Linked DNA regions of Oryzias latipes. The protein of the gene in region 2 interacts with the protein of the main gene of each other region in a pairwise test. Links are inferred from orthologs where the notes say so. Each region holds a gene or a part of one and is shown on either strand. Other genes may lie near its edges.

Region 1 (4,640 bases), on a different chromosome or scaffold from region 2:
GACTTTTTTTGATGCAAAATCATTTTCAGAATCCTTTCTGAATATATTAAAATATTGTGTTATTAGTGTTTTTGTTCTAAGGATTTAATTGTGTTTTGAATTTAAAAGATAATGTAATTAAACATTTATTAGTAAAAGCAGCAGGGTTTATATATATTTATAAAAAAATAAACGAAATAAATAAAAGATGATGTCCACATATCTGGACTTGTAATCCTTTATGGGGGCTTAAATCTACTTTTGCAACTTCAGAACTGCAACTTGAAGTTATGATTGAGGTTAACCGTACTTTTCCTCTAATGTATTCATGCCAACTGGTGTCATTTCAAGAACCTAACTGGATTTTTTTTTCAAAAAAAGATTTAAAAAAAAAGAAAGAGCAGAAGAGGAGTATATTTCAAAGTGCTTTTATTTTCTAACACAAATGCAAGAAAAGACATAAAATAAGATCAGATCAGTGGAGTTTATCAATTCACATTGAAATATATGAAATCCTCCTAACAAATGGTTTCAAATGAATGTGTGGAGGTCAAAAGGTCCAGCTTTTGCCCCCGTCCTCCTGACAAACGCGTTTCTCCACAGGTGAGCCTGGACGCCCGGGTGCGGGAGGTCATCAACAGGAAGATGCAGGACCCCACGCCTCACACGTTCGAGGACGCCCAGCTGCAGATCTACACGCTCATGCACAGGGATTCTTACCCGCGGTTCCTCTCCTCCAACATCTACAAGGCGCTCATTCACGGTGGCTCCCGCACCTCCTCGGAGTCTTAGTGCCACTCCTCCCTCCACCGTCCCGCAGGACTGCTGTCACAGCCTTTCATCTCTCCTCTCAAACACCTGCAGCCTTTTTCTACCACATTCGGATTTTCTTCAGAACCAGAATATCTCCGACTGCCACGGCTTTGCTTTGCTCTTTTTCAAGTTTTCCCTCCTTTTTTTCTTTCTTTTGCCTCTTTTAACCTGACACCCCGGTTTTTCTTTTTATCCATCTGTCTTAAAACGCCTGCTATAACACATCCCAAGCAGAACTCGGATCAGCGGAGCGGGTTTACACCGCCAGAAAATTCTGAACCAAACTGACTGAGTTTGCAGGATTCCGCCCCAAAAAAACAACACAACAACACAAAACTGCGATCCTCGTCAGAGCAGCACGTCCCACACCAAACAGGAGTTTATTTTTGTATTCAAACTTTAAAGGGTTTTTATGTAGAATGTATCACGCCGTGTTCTTTTTCTGTCTAATCCATGTTCTCCCTTCGGTTTTTTTTCCTGTTTCCTGCTTTTCTTTTCAATTTTCTACCACAGTCTTTACTGACGGAGGCAAAAAAAACAAACAATTTGGGATTTCTTTTTTCTCTTTTTCGTACGTTTGGGAGATGAGCGACAGAATCTGCTGCGTCTCACCAGGAGAGAGTTTCATCTGTGCCATAAACTTTTAGTGCATCTGAAAAATGCTGGTTTTCTGTTCACCCTGCGGTTGCGCTTTCTTCAGGACGGTCAAGGAAAGACGGCAATCGACGAGTCTCTCCCTGTTTCTGTCTCAGCTGGAGCCCCGGCTGCTCCCTCCGCCCGCCTCCACCGGCCCTCGCTGCCCTTCTTGCTCCCCTGCCGCCTCCCGTTTGCTCCTTTCACTTCTGTTGTCATCAAACGGACATAGGAAGGCTGCCGCTTCCTTCAAACTACTGATTTACGCAAAGACCTGATGTCTATTTTCTAACAGATTTCTCACTAAGGAACATGTTCCTTTTGTTTCTTTGGATTCTCCTGATCGCTCTCGTCCCTGGACCCCCCCCCCCCCTTTTTTTTCTTCTTTTTTTTTTTTTTTTTTTCGTCAGGAGGAGGGAGTTTCTGCTGCGACTATACTGAGTTCCAGCCAACATCACAGATGCTGCAATAAAACACTGGAGTCCAGAAACGCACCGACATGCACACACTTCAAGCACACGTGTGTGACTGTACTCACAGAGCGCGCTCTGGAAGGGCGCCAGGCGATCAGGGATTCCCGTAACAGGTGATGACGCTTACGACCCATCAGGCACAGTAACGGCAATCGGCCAATCGCACCGCAGAGGCTTGCTCCACGCTGACATTCAAACTGAGCATTGGAACAGGGACAGATGAGGGTTTAAATGAAGCCAACAGTTTGGTTGAGACCTCACTCAAACACCTTTGAATTCATGAGCCCCACTTGAAGGAAATGTCTCCAGTGTGCTCATCTTTGGGTGTCCTCTTGACTTCTGTTACTGACGCTTTGATGAGAAGCTATGTTCACACCAAGCGTGTTCTAGACCGTCGGTTTGGCCCAATGTGTTCACCCCAGAGCAGGGAGGGGCTTCTTCTTCTTCTACAGTTTATTAGCGCGTGTGCACCACCTACAGTCGGAAGAGGCTTGGTGCAAAATGTCAAAGCGGTGTAAACCTCGATCCAGTTCTTTTCTGATATATCAAAGACAATTTCCTTTTTATGATCAATTTCCAAATTGTTGGCACTTCCATGAATTATAGCGGACGTCATCCATACGTCACTACCAAATCCAAGTCCCTGATTGGTCAAAGTTCTACCTGGTTTAACTGCCAACGCGCGTTCAACGGCTGTGCATTTTGTGTGTAAAGCCCAAAAACAATCATAGAAACTTGCTATAGCACCTACATAGACTTTTCAACAAAGGTGGGGGCTTGAACGCATGTTGTTGAGGGCGGTGTGAATGTAGCTCCAGTCCTGCTGTCATCCGACACTCAGGCAAAACGACGGCGAAGCGCCTCGGCCTGAAAAGAAACAAGTCATTAGTCAGAGTGGTCCTGCAGCTGAGACGTCTCACTTTACGCTGCGTCTGTGTGAGCCTGCAGAGCGACAGGAGCAGACCTCTAACACTCCACACAGAACTCAGTGGTTCCCAAACAGACGGGCAGGTTTTTTTTTTTAAATGTTATCCTCATCGGGTTTCATTTGGGTTAGCTTTGCTTGATGAACATTTTTGTTCCATGAGTTCAGAGGACCTGACCCAACAGGACAGGCCCCAGCAACCCCATCACCCTGAAAGGGGGATAGAAAATATTAAACAAATATGGAAAAAAACTTTTCAAATTTGAAAAAAAAAATCTATAAATGTGAAAAAAAATCTGCCAGAGATGAAAAAAAGGTCCGTCCAGCAATTCTTATTTTTTAAAACAAAATTCTAGTAACTAAGACGTGTTTTCTCAAACTAATATTATTTTTCTATTGACAATTTTTCGTGAAAAATGAGTCTTTTTACTTTCTTAAGATTTGGTTTTTGCAGAGCATGTACTTCTCTCAAACATATATGTAATTTATTTTTGTTTGTTTACAACTGAGAATAAAAGTTTAATTTGTTCTTTTATAAAGATTAAAAATGCATTGCAATTGTAAAACAAAACAAAAAACTGATCAGTTTTCTGCAAGACTGACAGCCTTGAGTCTGCCTCTGAGAGTACAGTAACACCAACACCCACACACACACACACACACTCCAGGGTGGCGTACCTGGGCCCTGCTGCTGCTGACCTCTGCCTCTGTGACCTCTCACCTTTTGTCCTTGACACTGTCAGATGCTCCCGTGGACGCCTCCTCCTGATTGGCTGCAGGGATCCCCATGGCTGATCTGTGGTTGGTCTATTCGCTGAAGGAGGTGGGAGGAATTTCCAGATGCAAAAACAAAAAAAATAGGAACCAATGAAACACGACTTGACAAATATTTTCTAAAACATAATGAATATGTGAATTGGGAGGATTCCACCCAGTGCTTCATGGGAAATGTTGTTTGGCGAGAACAAATGTCTGTAGTTTAAATTAACAGAAAAAAAAAGATGCCTAATTCTTTACTGGACTTGTCACTCAGAATGCATTTATCTTAGTATTGTTAATGTTATTTATTTTATATTTTGTTGAAACTGTGATTTTAACTGTACATATATAAACAAAAACCCTTGACCATGCATTGGGAAGCAGCGTTGTCTGTTCAGTGTTGGGTCAGTTTACTCTTAAGCATGAACTCGATCTGTTGATGCTAAAATGTGGTCCATAAATTCAAAAAGAAGAAGAGAAAACGTCTGATGAAGCTGGTGGAGATGAGACGAAGAAATCAAGAACTTCTCTGTGAAGTATCGTCTTCAAAAACCAGGACAATATTCCGACACAAATAACCAGCGGACACCCACACAAGGTCAGTTTTACAAAAATTCATGAATTGGGAGGTTTTTATATTTATTTGATCTAAGAGCCCAAATATCCATCCATATGTTGCGTGAAGGGGACCAAACCGGAAGGTTCCACCACTCCAACACAGATTTTTTTTATTAGTATTTTGATTAAAAAACACTTTAAATAAAAAAATATAATCAGACTGGGACTTTAAAACAGAGTCCCGGTTTGCTTGCAAGTGAACCCTGATGTGGTTTGTTACAGTGTGAATTCAAATGGACCAAAAAATACAAAGAATTGACATACGTTCTGTGCATTTTCTAATAAGAAAAGAATGACTGTCTCGCAAATCCTTTGCTGCAGGAATATTCATGGAAGATTTTTATTACTAGACATACGGTGAGGTCAACAAGTATTTGATCACCCTGTGATTTAGCAAGTTCTCCCACTTAGAAAACATGTAGGGGTCTAAAATTGTCATC
Region 2 (5,210 bases):
GTCTTGCAGCGTGCTGCAGAACAGGACTGAGCGACCCGCTCTGCAGCCTCAGTGGGTGTCCGCAGTTCAAATGCTGCAGCTCCTGCAGGTGGATCCAAGGTGAGGCTGAATGTGGCACATTAATCAAGGCTCTTTCGTCGTTTCTTTGCCCTTTTATGGTGGGGTGGAATCGCACTCTGCACACCAGGAGTTTAAAAAAAAAGTCATCCGGAAACTCCAACCATGTTCCCACAGTGCTACGTTTTTGTTGTTGCTATTTTTTCCACTATTTTGCCGCCCAATATCTGAGGTAAATTGTTTCTTTGGACGTTGTTCTGTGAACACTCCGTTTGTGACATCCCGTGCTGAAAGTTATCATAGTTCATCTTGTCGTTTAGGGGAAATCGTGGCACTTTTGTTGAACTTGTGGAGTTGTTGAAGACGAGAGTGGTGGGGCTCCCACCCTTGTCAGTGGCATAACCTGGATGTTTCAATCAATAGAGTTTCTTTTTGTCCCCTCAATATAAGCCGAGAGCTCGATAAGGTTGTCATCACAAATGTCGCTGCTGACACTCGCACTCTCATCTTCCCCGCGGATAAACATGCCTTTATTATGCCAATACCTTTGACCCTTGGGATGGCCGCGCGCACAGCCGCATTCATTGTCAGGCTTGATGCGTAAAACCGACACGTAAAGTTTGTGCGTTTTTCTGCAGACATCTTGTGGGTATTGTGCATAAATTCTAACCCAACATCCCAATACATGTTCCCCCAAAGACGTGACAAGAAAGAAAACATTCAGAGCGAGACGGACTTTAATGCACACGATTGACCCGTAAACGTCTCTCTGGACAAAACAGTTTGCATGTGCATCGCGGGATTGAATATATACAAAGCCTGAAACACTAAAGCTTTGAACGGCCTGTTCCGCAACTGATAAAACTCAGCGCCACTGCAGTCATGACACGTGAAGGCAGCTTGCAAATCTCACAATACATTCAAACAGTCGACACACAGACACCTGAAACAGATAAATAACAGGGGAACCATAACAGTTCACTCACTAAACATTCAAAAACGAGGTATTCTCGTTGATTGTGTGTTGCCTTGGTGATGGCACAGTGCGTTCACACGTGTGATCGGAATGCACAGCTTGGGCACCTTTGAGGTATTCATTTGTCAGCAGATTTTTGATTATAGCAGCAATTGGCAGGTAGAAGTGACACCATCTAACAAAGTTTGGCAAATTTCGAGCCAAATTTAACGCAATGGGGCTTGTTTGGACAGCAGCGCCTTTGTTTTTACAGATACATAATACAATATATAACAGTTCTTGACTCCAGAAATCACAATTGTCCAGGATCCCTAGTGTTTTCCAATTTATGGATGTCTACACAACAAAAACTTCAATACAAGTAAACTTAGGTAAATACAGAACGCTGTGGCCCAGAGAGGAAAGGAGGGCAGTTGGTCCTCAGTTTGAATTGTAGGCATCCGCTCCTGTGGAAGACACCGTGGATGAGGAGGGGGAGGGGGTGGAGGGAGCCGAGATTGACTTCTCAGACGCAGCATCGTTTGTTTTTTCTCCCTGGTCTGAGGTAGAAACTTTAGCTGGCATGAGTCCTTCTTTTTCGCGCTTCTTTTGCTTCATTCTCCGGTTCTGGAACCAAATTTTCACCTGAGTCTCATTCAGCTGCAGCGCAGCTGCGATTTCAACACGGCGAGCCCGAGTCAGGTACTTGTTGAAGTGGAACTCCTTCTCCAGCTCTGTCAGCTGCTTGGTGGTGAAGTTGGTTCGAACAGTGTTCGGCTGACCAGAATATCCATATTCACCAGACCTCCCTGTGGGCAATAAATTCTTCACTTTAAAAACAGACTGGTTGGTTTTCTGTCATCAAACAGAACGTAAACTCTGGAACAATGTCGTCATAACTTCACTTTTACGCAGCGTCTGATAACTTTTACGCATCGATCAGTAGTTATCCTCTTATATTTAATATAACAAATATACAAGTTTTATTATATACTTTAGAGCACATTATTTTCTGAGAATGTAAAGATGTAAACTTTTTCCAGAAGCAAACATTTTAGCTATTAATCTTTCATTAATCTCGTTTACACATTAGTGCGTCCAGTGAAGAAGCATGTTGTAGGCGCCCTTCAGCTCAAAGCTCGGATCATTTAACCCGCTTGTTTTAGACACTACGTATACGTCCATGCACACACAAAAACAAGATAGCACACACCTGTTTTTGGTGGATTCCTCTTAACTTTCATCCAGTCGAAAGTTTGCGCGGCCACTGCTCCCTCGGACAGAGGGGAACAACAAGCTTCCAGGTGTCCGGCGTGCAGAGGGGACAGGGGGTTCGAGGCAACAGGATACGCGGCTGTCTGCTCATGCCCGCCGCCATAGGCAACGTGGGTATACTGCAATTGACCCAGGGGGGCGGCACTGTAACCATGACGATGCTGAGGGACCACGGATGAGGATATGTTACCTGCATACATGAGTGGGCCACACTGAGGAAATGCAGCTGAGTCTACTTCCTGGTTGAGAGTATAATGGTTGTAAGAGGCGCAGAAACTTTGGGGTCCATAGTTGGAGTTGCAGGCCGGATGGGCCCCGCAAGAGAGACCAAGCGAGCCCGCAGTAGACTGGTATGACCCCGAATGAAGAGAGATGCTGTCGGGAGACGTCCTGTTTGACATGAAGTGCTCATCCGCCCCGCAGTTGTTGACAGCAGCCCCGCAGGACTGAAAACTTGTAATCCCGTGGTCCGAGTGGAAGGTTCTGACCGAACACGACCCACTTTCTCCGCTCATCACCGAATAGTCTAAAAAGCTGCTCATTGTAGCATTGTTGTGCCCTGACCGAGGGACTGTCTTCTTTGCAGACACCCCTCTGCTGTCTTGCCGCTCCCCACTCTCACCCTAAGTGATCCTGCCAACTTGTACCTTAACTCAGTTCTTATCAGTAAGGGAAGGAGGGCGCGTGGGGTGATATCAATGAACGGGTGCTGTCACGTGGGCCAGGGTCAGCCAGTAAGGTACTTGTCCTCGTCCACTTAGCCGGTGACAGATTGGTGTTTGAGGGGCTATTTAAATTCCAAGCGCTCGTCGATCAAGGTGACGCGCGCCGCCACTAATGTATGGGCCAAGCAAACAATGAGCTGGGAGTCAGACGGCGGTGGACAGCTCCGGGGTCGCAGGAGGAGCGGGACGCTGCAGACATGCTGTACCGTAACCCCCGCTGCCCGCTCTCCCACAGGGAGAGATTAGCGAGTCACCCTCCGCAGCCTGACATGACGACGGCCCAACACTTTGACCCCAGGTACGGTATTTTTGGAACACAGAGAGATCATTGTCTGCATGCGTGTGTGTTGGAGCGCGTGCACGTTCGTGCCCTCCACGCTTTATAGGCGCGATATCATATAGCCTATAACCGTGTCACCCTCCCTGTAGATGGATGGATGGCTCAGAGTGCGTGTGCCACTGCCATAGGCTATCTGTGGGCTATTAATGTCCCATTCTAATGCGAAATGTTTCACGCTTGAACATTAAGGGATTTTCTCTGCAAATATTGTCACAGTGCGACAGTGAGGGAGAGGCAAGAGGGGTTCCGACTTTCTTCCACTGACAGAAGCCTTCTTGGGCTTTGCATTTTCTGTGCATCTGTTTTAGCATGCACAAGAAAGTGACGTGGCGCTGCACATCTGTTTTGAGCGTGTCACTTCACAGCATGTGGCAGTGAAAAACGACAACCCCGGCCTGAACTTTTTACCCCGACACATCCCGGCTCGCCCCTTGTGGTGACGCAGTAAAATGACGCGCAAAAAAGCAGAATGCGTACAAATAAATAAATGTCAAGAATGATGAAACGGCAAAGACAACACAGGGCTTCAGATTGAGTTGTTATTAGTGTGTTTCTTTCTCCCGTGGTCGCGGGGTCGTCCATTTGCCTGCAATCCTCTGCGTGTTTTCATTATGCATAAATGGTGATCAAATAAAATAACAGGATGAGGTCTGTCCTGGCGCTCCTGATTACACTGCTTCGCGTAAAGCTCGTGGAGATATTAATGGCACCAAAAAGTAATGGGGAAATCTATGAGTGTGAAGAGAAGAGGTCTGGGGGGGGGGGGGGGGGGGGGGCTACTTAGGGCAGTGGTGGCAGATCCCCAACCTCTCGAAAAGGAAGGAGAAGAAAAGGGAGGGAGGCAAAAGAGGGGAGTCACTTGGAAGAACGAGCGCCCCTACAGGCTATAGGAGGTCAAGCAGACTTGATGTTTATTAACATTTCATGGTCAGTAGTTTTCTATAGATACAGACTTCTAAGATGATTCTGAGTTTAATTGAAGTTTTTAGTTTATGCAACCTTATACGTTTTCCCAATGTGTGAGGGCAAAACTTAAAAAATCCCTTTCTGCATAAAACTACTTGCAGTTTTCCCACTTTTTAGACTTTTAAAGTTTTGTTTTAAGATTAACTTTGTTGAAAACTGTAACAACGGTTTGGAGACTTATTTTCTCCAAACTGCTACCCTGACCAGACCATAACCAGACCAGTATCACGGTGCCACATGTTGCTGGTCTGTTAAATGAAGTTGAATTACAACATGGTGATTTTTGTCTCTGAAATAATTCAGAGTTAATAGAAACAACATTTTCTTTTTTCAAGTTTCCAAGAGATACATAAAGTGAGTTTGGTTTGTAGGGAAATAAACTTGCTGCAAAAACAGATCCCTTAGAAAATAAGTGAAAAGTCTTAAAATTTAAAAATTTTTCTTTTAATAAGCAAAGAAATCTGCCATTGAGGTAAGAAAAACTGTCTTAATTAATAACTTTCAACAAAACAGGAAAATTGTTTTTGAAATGAGGACCTTTGAACTTTCTGAAGATTCAGTTTTTTGCAGTGCAGAAGAACTTGCTAACAAAAAAGGGGGGGCGCATTGTGGGTCAGTTCCCCACACCCACCCACCCCTCCCTCCCTTCTCTCAGTTTTCCCAGCTGCCTCTGCAGTGAGTGGGCGCATAGGACCATGCCTTGCCTGCATGTGTAAAAGCGCTTCTCCGGGCTTCAAGGCTTTTCTTGGGTCTTTGTTTGAAGTCAGGCGCACAGAAAAGGCGCGCTGTCTCGGAATGAATTGGTTATGTTGGCCCCGTGGTTAGTCAGGGACCAGGACAGCAGGCTCCCTGCCCACGCTTTTACCCTCCACACAACAACACCAACTTTCCC

What was found. The genes of interacting proteins can lie anywhere in the genome.
Region 1: the proteins of homeobox protein Hox-A1a (region 2) and regulator of G-protein signaling 17 interact in binary tests that used the Homo sapiens proteins (3 or more experiments, as listed by UniProt). The two-hybrid records come from large-scale screens. The link is inferred for Oryzias latipes from reciprocal best matches to the Homo sapiens genes HOXA1 and RGS17.

The regions. Positions count from the first base shown.
Region 1 is NC_019865.2:27,315,305-27,319,944, reverse strand, and holds the end of regulator of G-protein signaling 17, read left to right. Parts: intron 1-582; coding exon 583-771; 3' UTR 772-3,953; downstream 3,954-4,640. UniProt on the Homo sapiens protein: Regulates G protein-coupled receptor signaling cascades, including signaling via muscarinic acetylcholine receptor CHRM2 and dopamine receptor DRD2.
Region 2 is NC_019869.2:11,314,894-11,320,103, forward strand, and holds homeobox protein Hox-A1a, read right to left. Parts: upstream 3,306-5,210; 5' UTR 2,830-3,305; coding exon 2,226-2,829; intron 1,822-2,225; coding exon 1,454-1,821; 3' UTR 777-1,453; downstream 1-776. UniProt on the Homo sapiens protein: Sequence-specific transcription factor. Regulates multiple developmental processes including brainstem, inner and outer ear, abducens nerve and cardiovascular development and morphogenesis as well as cognition and behavior.